Arabidopsis thaliana: one gene and its partner. The protein of the gene in region 1 interacts with the protein of each later gene in a pairwise test. Each region holds a gene or a part of one and is shown in the gene's direction. Other genes may lie near its edges.

Evidence for each region. Proteins that work in one complex are often made in the same cells at the same time.
Region 2: the proteins of SAG29 (region 1) and AT4G38690 interact in a protein complementation assay, tested with the Arabidopsis thaliana proteins (one large-scale study listed by BioGRID).

What each region holds. Positions count from the first base shown.
Region 1 is NC_003076.8:4,179,682-4,185,556, reverse strand, and holds SAG29 (senescence-associated gene 29), read left to right. Parts: upstream 1-2,202; 5' UTR 2,203-2,385; coding exon 2,386-2,437; intron 2,438-3,012; coding exon 3,013-3,049; intron 3,050-3,142; coding exon 3,143-3,353; intron 3,354-3,437; coding exon 3,438-3,602; intron 3,603-3,696; coding exon 3,697-3,816; intron 3,817-3,932; coding exon 3,933-4,226; 3' UTR 4,227-4,515; downstream 4,516-5,875. Other genes in the region: PBS1 (Protein kinase superfamily protein), read right to left, coding at 5,875-5,875.
Region 2 is NC_003075.7:18,073,320-18,078,821, reverse strand, and holds AT4G38690 (PLC-like phosphodiesterases superfamily protein), read left to right. Parts: upstream 1-2,864; 5' UTR 2,865-3,122; coding exon 3,123-4,079; 3' UTR 4,080-4,502; downstream 4,503-5,502. Other genes in the region: AT4G38710 (glycine-rich protein), read left to right, coding at 237-275, 471-681; AT4G38700 (Disease resistance-responsive (dirigent-like protein) family protein), read left to right, coding at 1,667-2,239.

The sequences.
Region 1 (5,875 bases):
ATATATCAATGTGGGTCACCTAGATGCCTATATTATTGGGGTTTGATCAGCCGATGTTTGTTGTATTTGGGTTGATTTTCCACATAATTCATTTAAAGCATCATCCATTAAAAACGAAAAAACATTTCATATATGGGTTACAGAAATTTTATTCGATGAGAAATGTCAAAATATAAACGAGAAATTGTGATGTGATGCAATATTGCTAGTGAATTATGAATATCTATTGTTCATGACTACTGTATACATATTACTATAAATGTCCATGGATATATTTATAGTAAATAATATAAAGAAGTCAGGGGAATGTGATTGCAAATTTGCATACACCGTATGGATCGTACGATGAACCAAAACTATATTAGGCACCAATCAATCAAAATTTTTAAGAGAAACCAAAGTTGCTTCAATAGTAATTAGAGATGGGGAAATTAAGGTGGAGGAGAACCACAAAAGTGGCACCTCTCATATTTTAAATTATTATGGACCAAATAAAAGAAAGAGGGAGAGAGAGAAACAAATACTCACGAATAAGAACAAGAAGGATTTAACAAACCCATGATCATTGTTATCATTAGCCTACCACGTCACTCCTCTTTTGTCCATTTCTTCCCACTTTTAATATCTGTTTTAACTTACCCTCGAAAAATGGAGAATTGTTTCGTAATTTTCTCAACCTTTTCTCCAAAATATTCAGATTCCTTTCCTCATAACTATAGAAACAAACGTAACAAAAGAAAATGTAATATTCAACCAATCTCTGAATAATATGCATATTACTGCATAACTAGATCATTATACATGCATCCTTATTTCAAAAAATTAACGAGAAAAAGTTTATAAACATTTTAGAAAATTATATATAACTGGAATCAACAAAAAGGACTAATTGTTATTTAATATACTAATATAAGAAATCCTGAAAATAGGGATTAAAACAGGAGACGAAGAGCAAGAAACAGAAAATACTCTAAAGACACGAAACCAAAGAGAGGGTGTTGCCTAGTCAGCATCTGATGACGTGGCATAGCTCTCGTGTGTGTGTGTCTCTACAAACTCTAAAGAAACGGCTATAAGTGGAAGCGTTTGGAGAGGTCACGTGATTTGCACAAATTTTTCGTTTTCATGCTATTATTATCGTATTATTAATCACGACTCTCTCTCGTAACGCATCATTTTTTTCGTTTAATTTACCTTAATTTATTCTCACGCGCGACGCTCCGTTTCGACGCGTGGAGTTTTTGCTCAAAACATGCATGATTGTTAACGTTTTCTTTTTGTACAAGGAAAAAAAAAAACGTGTACCTCTAGACAAGAGTTAGAGAGAAATGAGAAACTGGACCAGGAGATGTGAATGGTTTCATTCCTACTTTGGTTAATCATTGCAAATGCCAATAATTATATAGAGAACGGCGTCAATTTTCTGCAAAGAAATATCTTTACTGGTACTTTTTTGTGCTACCTATAAATGTGTTGGTTTAATCTAGCCATCACACGTATATTTCTAGCTATGTTAGATCTTTAATCATTCTCACCTAGACTCCTTTACAAAAACCAATATAGATGAAACCAGTCCCACCCCTCTCATTTAAGTCATAGTATATATTTGTGTAACGAGAATACAGACAAAACAATTAAATTCATTGTAATCATACTTGAAAATATAGTCAATGAAATTAATTATCCTACATTTTTGAAAACAGTGTCTATAATTATTATGTACATTGAATAGATACGTGGGATATTTTGGATTCCAGTTCATATATATGTAGATTAAAAATAAAGAGAGGGCGATAAAGCCTAAAGAAAATGTACAAATCGTAATGTAATCTAGTGATGATTTCCTCTATATAGGTTGATGTTGGGTAGACTTTTGGTCACCATGATATTTATCTATCGTCTATAAAGTACAAAACTGTGGTACTAAATGTGATTTATGAAAGCTAATTAAAAAGAAGGCGTGAAGAAAATGAAATCGTAATAGACGACGCGCGTACGAGATGAGAGTAGTGGAGGAAAGAAGTAAGATTGAGTGAATGATAAAATGCAAACGCTACCTACTAATATCTCCACTTGTCATGCAACCAGACTGAGTTCGTTTTCCTTTTCGAGTCTTATTTTTTTGTTTTTTATTCTACTCAACACGTTACACGCTTCTAATAAACTCTAAACATTAAAATCAAAATATTTTGACTACAATGGTTATTTTGGAGCTATATATAAACCACCTGAGCCTCCTCAGTTTCCTCCATGAAATAAAAAGAAGCATCTTCTAGAGAGAGACATATAGAGAAAGAGAGAGAAAGCTTTAGGGTTTCAAAAAAAAAAAAAAAGAGACCCTTTAGAAATCTCCTAACAGGAAAGTTTTCTCAATTGCTATAGAAAATGGGAGTCATGATCAATCACCATTTCCTCGCTTTTATCTTCGGCATCTTAGGTAATGATAAATCCACAAAGCCAAATCCTAGTTTGTTCATCATCTCTTGTCTTTACTGTTATTCTTATGTTTTTTACTTGTTAACAAAAGGAATTTGCAACAGCAACTATAATGTTGCAACTTTACATCTAAGCTTCTGTTTTCAAAACAATATATACTATGTGTAGGGTTCCATTGTAGTTCTAGCTTAGAGTTAATTAAACAACAGAGTACTAAGAAATGAATTGAAATTCTGTAGTGTTCATCATGACTCACCTAACAAGTTTCAAGTTTTTTCTTCATTAACTAAACTAAGTCATTTGGGATTATAAATGATCTTCTAATTCTTTAGTTAAATCCCAAACTACCAAAAAATAAATCAATACGTAAGCTATTAATTAAATTGAAATCGTCACGCATTGTTGTCCATGTTATATCATACTCAATACGTGTATAGTGGTTAATGCACAATTTAATTCCCCGCTGAGGTTGGTTAGAGAACCCGTACTGATTCATATGTACTTATGTTTCCACAAAACTAGAAGCCTCTTAATTATACAATTGACTCATTTTTTTATTTTTACATGGAATTACAGGAAACGTGATATCCTTCCTTGTATTCCTCGCTCCAGTGTAAGTAGATTCAATTTACTTTTTTTTATTTCATTTTATTTATTTGTTAGTTTTGAGAATGATTCTGATGATTTCGTTTTTCAAAATATTCAGGCCAACTTTTTATAGAATATACAAGAGAAAATCGACGGAAAGTTTCCAGTCGCTACCGTACCAAGTGTCGCTATTTAGCTGCATGCTATGGCTCTACTACGCATTGATTAAGAAAGACGCTTTTCTCCTAATTACCATCAACTCCTTTGGCTGCGTCGTGGAGACTCTCTACATAGCCATGTTCTTCGCTTACGCCACCAGGGAGAAAAGGGTAAAATTATTCCCCTCTCCTCCTCCTTAATTCCGCTATGTAATTAAATACGAATATTAAATGAATAATATGCGTTTTTGGCAGATATCGGCTATGAAGTTGTTCATAGCAATGAACGTTGCCTTCTTCTCGTTGATTCTAATGGTAACACATTTCGTGGTTAAAACTCCTCCCCTCCAAGTCTCTGTACTCGGCTGGATTTGTGTTGCCATTTCTGTTTCTGTTTTCGCTGCCCCTCTAATGATCGTGGTAAGCTAGCGTTATTTAATTTAATTTGTAAATTTATTTCTAGAACATTATATTTTGAAATAAAATGTTAAATATAAATTCTTGATGTGAATAGGCTCGTGTGATAAAGACAAAGAGTGTGGAGTACATGCCCTTCACGCTTTCTTTCTTCCTCACTATAAGCGCCGTTATGTGGTTCGCTTATGGTTTATTCCTCAATGACATATGCATAGCGGTAAGCAATTAAGCATCTATATTATTATTTATTTTTACCGTTTGCTAAATTTTTTAAATATTCGGTAAAAAGGTTATAACTGACCTATTTTGTATGGCTTTGATGATATTTTGTAGATTCCAAACGTGGTGGGATTCGTACTAGGGCTGTTGCAAATGGTTTTGTACTTGGTTTACAGGAACTCAAATGAGAAACCAGAGAAGATTAATTCGTCAGAACAACAACTTAAGAGTATTGTCGTGATGAGTCCGTTAGGTGTGTCGGAAGTGCACCCAGTTGTGACGGAATCGGTGGACCCACTCTCTGAAGCCGTTCATCATGAGGATCTGTCCAAAGTTACTAAAGTGGAGGAGCCGTCAATTGAAAACGGCAAGTGCTACGTGGAGGCTACTCGTCCTGAAACCGTTTGAAGTGTCAATATGTGAAGCTCAAAATATTGCTCTCTCTCTCTCTCTCTTTCACTCTCTTTCTCTCGGCTCGTCAGGGCCGGCCAAAGGAAGAAATTGTATTATCGGCGGGGTGGTTTGTTAAATTTCCATTTTTGTTTCGTATCTTATTGATGATGTACTACTTGCATAAAGTTTTGTGTTTATTTGAATATATTATCTTTGTGTAAGTTGTAACTAGTGCTCTTTGGAAAATTTGATATAATAAACCTCAATAGCTTAATTACTCCTACTAATAAGCTTTTTTTTTGTTAAAACTAATAAGCTTGTTGACCACCCTTTTTTTTTATGATTGATTACATTTGTCTTAAAGATGTCGCCGTCAGTTAGATAACGAATGGTCTTGTGCCATTGACGACATACTGTTTAACGATTTTGAGAATTAACAAATATATAAAACTCATGAGTCAGAAGAAAAAGTATGTACATAAGTTTGTGATCTAAACTGTCCCCATCAAGTATATACAACCAAAGCAGATTATATTCTTTTTTAAACGAATTGTGTTTTTCTTTGTAGAGTCTAATTTTCAAGTGTACAAAAAATCATCACCGTCCAGTTTTGGAAACGAATAAAAAATTGTCAAGACGTCCCAATGGTCTGATGAAAATGTATTGCAAGCATATCTCACACTTCCAAGTGACAATCACTATATTATTTGCTTATTCGTAACAAAATATACAAGATTACTTAGTTATCTACAAATATTATAACCATCCTATGATTATATTACCCCAAAATATTTTAATATAACTATAAATAACTCGTAAGAAATAATAATATGAAATATATATACTTGTTAACTAACTTACATTTTAAACCGTAACGACAAAATCCGACAAAGAATCATATATATTATAGCGAATTTTGACAAATTACGCATGCCAGTGTAGGATACGCTATGTAATTTATAAAATTAGTATGTCTCTTGATGGAAAAAAAGACAGAGGTTTTTAGTTAATAATTTTTCCTCTTACTTAAAAAATTCTAAAATTTAGGACTATCTAGTAAAGAATAGATTCTCCGAGTATTTAGAGGCCAAGAAATGATATTCACCAAAACTAAAACATACGGGAAGTTTCGACATCCATTTCAATAGACTACACAGTACACTGTCAATAGTAAAAAAAAGTCCCGACAAAAACTTGATAAGACCAACTAAAATCTTACAATCTGAATAAGCCATCCTTAAAATAATTGTCAGATTGCGAGGGCATGTGACCCACGTTGTCCGAAACTCCGCGATTGTGGACATTAGCCACACTACTGAACCACATGAATAGAGTCCAGAAACACTTAATATTGGATCTTTGCTATTCAATCTTTCAATGAGACGTAAACATCGCCACATGTGACTCATCATGAAACACATATCTGTCAAAATTTAAAAATAGAAAGACTACAAAATTTACATGAACAATCTTCACAACTCTCCAGAATCTCAATTAGAGAGTTTTGGTTATTAACCTTTGTGCCCATATTGCAACATCACATATATAATGTACAGCAACTCGTCGTCCCAATGTTTTTTTGTTTGTTTTCTATGTTTGACAATAAATGAGAGTCTTGAGAGAAATAAGAACAAAAAAGGGTCAAGACCGACCCAAACCGGTTC
Region 2 (5,502 bases), on another chromosome or scaffold:
TTGATTCGTTTCTTTAGTTTGCCTGCTTGTTTTCTGATTATACCATCTTAGTCGGGCAAAGTATTGATCTCTTACTGTCTGTGGAAATTATTGACATGGGTCTAAGAAATTGTGTATATTGTGGGAGATAGGGATTCATATATATGCTATAAACAGTGAGATTTTGGATGATCATTCATGTGTTATGGATCACTGCATTAGTATAGTAGTTAATATGTTAAATTTGGTGTTATTAGTTTTTCTCTACATTCATACATGGAAGTTGATGTCTTGAAGTGAAGCTGAAAGATTGGATCTCTCTTTCTGTTTTGTTTTTTTGATCTGGCATCCCATGTTTAGAGAGCTCTGTTTTTCTCTTTCTGCGTGATGGTAATGGGTTTTTTAGTTAGTGTTGTTGAGTATTGTGGGAAGTTGTAAATTTTGTAAGCATGTTTCTTACTCTTAAATTATTTTGTCTTTGAACATTGAAGCACGGAGCATTCTGAGGAGGATGCTCAAGAGGAGGAACCAGCTGTAGAAGGGGCAAAGAAGGAAGAGACTGAGGACAAACCGGCTGTAGAAGAGGCTAAGAAGGAAGAAACTGAGGGTGAACAGGCTGTAGAAGAGGCTAAGAAGGAAGAGACTGGTGGCGAACCGGCTGTAGAAGAGGCAAAGAAGGAAGAGACGGAGGACAAAATCTAAAGAGTCAAAAGGCATTTTTGTGGATTGTGATAGTTTGGGTTCTTGAAGTTTAGCTTCTGAGAATTTGTGTTGTTTAATTTGGATAAGTTAAGTTGTGTGGGGGAACTCTAGAGAAAATTTTGGTAGGGTCTTTTTTTTTATAATATCTCTCTGTCTCTTTTTTTTACCACATACTCTGTTGCAATTTTTAGGGTTTTGGGGTGTCTTTTATTTTTTACGAGTTGTACAATTTCATTATTGGTTTAAATCTGTCTTTGAATTTGGGAGCGTTTAGTTGATCAGTGATCAATGGTGCGTAGAGAGAGTGATGTTTGTTATTAAGAGCCCAATTGGCCCAACTTAACCCGACCCAGTATCAGATCTGGCCCGTATTCTATAATCTTCTTGATCGGTGCAGTCCACTTAAGATATATGTGGTGAGGAATAAATCCAACCTGTACAAACACACAGAATGTAGTGGGACGGGGAATATGATAATACCACGCGCTTTAGAGCTGGGAATATATTAAAATTGATCAAAAATAGGCATTTTGGCTGGACTATATAGCTTACCCATTTTGATAACACGCGCTCAACGCTCCTAAGGTGCGCGTGGTACATATCCTTACCTCGAATAAAGTTTATGCTAGTTATTTGGCAGAATCTCAAAGCTTTTTAGAATCATAATTTTCTAAAATAATTAAATCTCTTTACATGTTTTCAAAGTTGTCAAACACTATTACAATTTTGAACATATCATCAATATCAGACAGAAAATTTTCAAAGTTAATACCTGGATCATATGCATTTACTATTTTCTTTTTGTTATATAGAAAAATATCAAATAGATTTTCTAAATAATGACATATACCCTCTTTTTATAGGAGAAAATCTTTTTCCTGTAAACATTCCTAAAATTACAAGTGATCAAACTATATATATATATATATGTTCTAGATTCATTTGGATAGTAAACTTTCATATCAATTCCTTAAGTTTATAAATTATGAAGAGCACATTAATAATATTTTTCACACTCTGTTTGAGCATGGCCGTTATGGCGCGTCACGAATCCTACTATGGCAACACCAAACCGGCTAAACTGAATGAGGAGAAAGTGACACGTGTCAGATTTTATCTCCATGATACTCTCAGTGGCCAAAATCCTACCGCCGTTAGAATCGCACATGCAAATCTAACCGGTGGCTCAGCTTCGCCGGTAGGTTTTGGAAGCCTGTTTGTGATAGACGATCCGCTCACCGTCGGGCCGGAGAAACACTCGAAAGAGATCGGGAATGGTCAAGGGATGTATGTCTCCGGGTGCAAAGACTTGAGCAAATTCACGATCGTCATGTACGCTGATTTGGCTTTCACGGCAGGGAAGTTTAATGGAAGCTCGATCAGTATCTTCTCGAGGAATCCGGTGGCGGAAGAGGTCGGAGAGCGAGAAATCGCGATTGTTGGTGGCCGTGGGAAATTCAGAATGGCGAGAGGTTTTGTCAAAGTAAAAACAAATAAGATTGACATGAAGACTGGTGATGCTGTTCTCCGATATGATGCTACTGTTTATCATTATTAACCGATTCATATGTTCCGATTAAAACAATAAAAAGGCCAACTAAATCAATTATTCAGATCAAAACTGAATTTTGCATGATCAAGAGATCAAAATTGATTAATTATGTTGCAATCTTTCTTCTCAATTCCCAAAATCTATACTAGTAATCTCTTTTACATATCTTAGTTGTGTGGATCGTGATATTTGAGATAGTCTTACAAAAGACATGATAGGGCCTGTGAGTGTATATGATTGGTTTTCCATCGGATCCTATCCGAATTTTATCCAAAATATTAATTATCGATGCCTTGTTTAAATTTTAGGAACGACTTTTATTTCATAGAAAATTTGAATATGTGTCTTCCAAGAAATAAAAATCACGTTGTATTGATATCTTTCACGTCGGAAAATAGCCAGGCATTAGAAATTGACAAATAACAAACAGTGAAGACAGCTATACAACAAAAATGGACCTACCATACATTGTAAACCCACTCTCCCATCAATTACAACTCAACCACTCTTTCAATATATCTCAACTAATCAATCAGTTCACATTTATAACACTAAAATGTTCCCACAATAAAAATTGTAACAGTTAATCTTACATATTAAACGCTACTACTTTTTTTCTATGGTTTTTGTTAAGTTAAAAGTTGAAAGTTACTTCTAATTTGCGAATATGTCAACGGTGTTTTGAGAAAGTAGCGTAATTATTAAAAGATTAACGTATAATTCGTAACTTCTTCAAACCAATAATAAGTAAATAAAAAACAATCATAACGACTTATGAGTAAAGGTTTATTGATAAAGAAGGCATGGAACATTTTATAAACAAGAGAGAACAGAATTCAATATAGTGATCAGAGAAGAGAGAGCAAAGGGAAAGGGTTAATCCTCAGCAATGGGCTCTCACCTTTCCAAACAACTCGAGCGGCGAAAAGCCATCTCCACGGAGAAGAAAGCCCTCACCGATCTCGAGAAATCGTGCGGCTGCGAGTTTCCGGGGTGTGATTACATGCCTTCCGATCGTAAAAACTGGATGGCCGGCGTTGGACCTGAAAAGCTTCACATCAACAAGATCGTCTGGCCTGGGACGCACGACTCTGCCACCAACAAAATCGGTATCCGATTCGTGTCTCGTCCCTTTGCTAAGTGCCAATCTCTCTCCATCTATAACCAGCTCGTGGCGGGTACTCGAGTCCTTGACATTCGTGTCCAAGAAGATCGCCGTGTATGCCACGGTATCCTCAAGACTTATAGTGTCGACGTTGTCTTGGCCGATCTCAAACGGTTTCTATCCGAAACAGAGTCGGAGATTGTCATTCTTGAGATCAGAACAGAGTTTGGACACGAAGACCCACCGGAGTTTGATAAGTATCTTGTGGAACAGCTTGGAGAGCATCTGATTCACCAGGACGATCACGTGTTCTCCAAGACAGTCGCTGAGCTGCTTCCCAAGAGAGTGATCTGCGTTTGGAAACCGAGGAAATCGCCTCAGCCTAAGCATGGTGATCCTCTTTGGAGCGCTGGTTACCTTAAAGACAATTGGATCGATACAGATCTTCCATCGACCAAATTCGAGAGCAACATCAAGCATTTGAGCCAGCAGCAACCAGCTACTTCAAGGAAATTCTTTTACCGGGTGGAGAACACAGTGACGCCGCAGCCCGATAACCCAATAATGTGTGTAAAACCGGTGACTAAGAGGATACATTGCTACGCCAAGGTATTCATCATAGAGTGTGTAAAAAGAGGATGTGCTGATAAACTGCAGATATTCTCAACTGATTTCATAGATAATGAATTTGTTGATGCTTGCGTTGGGCTCACCTTTGCGAGAGCTGAAGGTAAGGCCTGAGGAATGAGCGTGTGGAGACAGACTTTGTGTATCTATTTTGAAGGAAAAGAATCAGAACATGGTTGATGTGTTTTAGGGTTGCTTGTGTATAAGAGAACATGTGAGTGTGTATTTGTATGTGTGTGTGATTTACGAGTGTATATTCCAATTCATTACAACTTATTTGAATCCTGATACAATTGCGAGATATCCAAACTCTTCATTACTATTAATTTCTGATACTTTTGCAGATGTTGTAGTTGATAGACAGGCAAAACAGAAGGAAGAAGTATACAGTTGATGGTAAAATCTAGTTTTAACAAGTGAAAGAGAGCTGCTAACCTGAGAGATGACTATATTTCTGCAGCAATGCCCCTTTTTATTACACACTACTGTGATCTTCAAGAACAAAAAGATAATAGAATCAGTTATGCTAGAATTCATATCAGTAGCTAATGACACAATGCATCTCTATAATTTCATTATTTGATTATATCTATAAACTGAGATGATGGAAACATGGTGCAAAATCCTAATAATTTGAGATTAGATTTCTTCTCAAGACTTGAAACACAAAAGAAGAAGAAGAAGAGCATTTGATCCACAAGAGTGATTGAGCCGAGCCAAATTATTCTCCCTGCTGAGATCGGCAGCGAGACCACTCTTCTAGACTCTAGACATGGGATGCAGAGAAACCAACTTTTTTTATTTAAACGGCTGCGTTTTAAGTCATGTTCTCAAATGATACCAGTTTTTTTTTTTTTTTTTTTTTTGCTAAGCACAAGTTTGATTTGTTGTTTGGCACTTTACGATAACATCATTTTACTCCTATACTTTCTCACGGTAAGTGATTAAGATAAAAACATGCACATTTTTCGAATTATAAGCTAAATTTAAAGGGATCTATTTTCTATCTCTCAATAATTTTTAAATTTTACTCATTTTCTATTTCTCTTATAAATTAATTACTTGGTAATTTAGTTTTGTAATCGATACTCAAAAATCGATATCCAACAAAGGACAATCTCTTTGCGGTCAATAGTCTTCTCAAATTACTTCATACAATTATCATACTGTTTGGTAAAATTTGTGAATCTGCCTCATAAAATGTACGTGGAAAGTGGAACAACAGTTAATGCTTATTTTGACCACAAGATTGAGAAAATTTTGAAAAGAGTATATTGACCAGTTGCTGACGTTGCATGTCATTCTTTAATGTTGTTGTTGACTGCAACAAAAAATAAAATACAACATACAAAGTAAAAAAATAAAAATAAATTAATTGATCTTTGTTTCTCTATTCCCCAGAGAGCTAGCTTTTCAGATCTAAAATCAGAATCTGACGGCTGATATCCCTCGTGAAAAACACCCCAACCGTCCAGATGCAACTGCTTGCTGGGCCAATGATCCATTCTCTTTCCCGAAATGGATTAATCAATTTAAG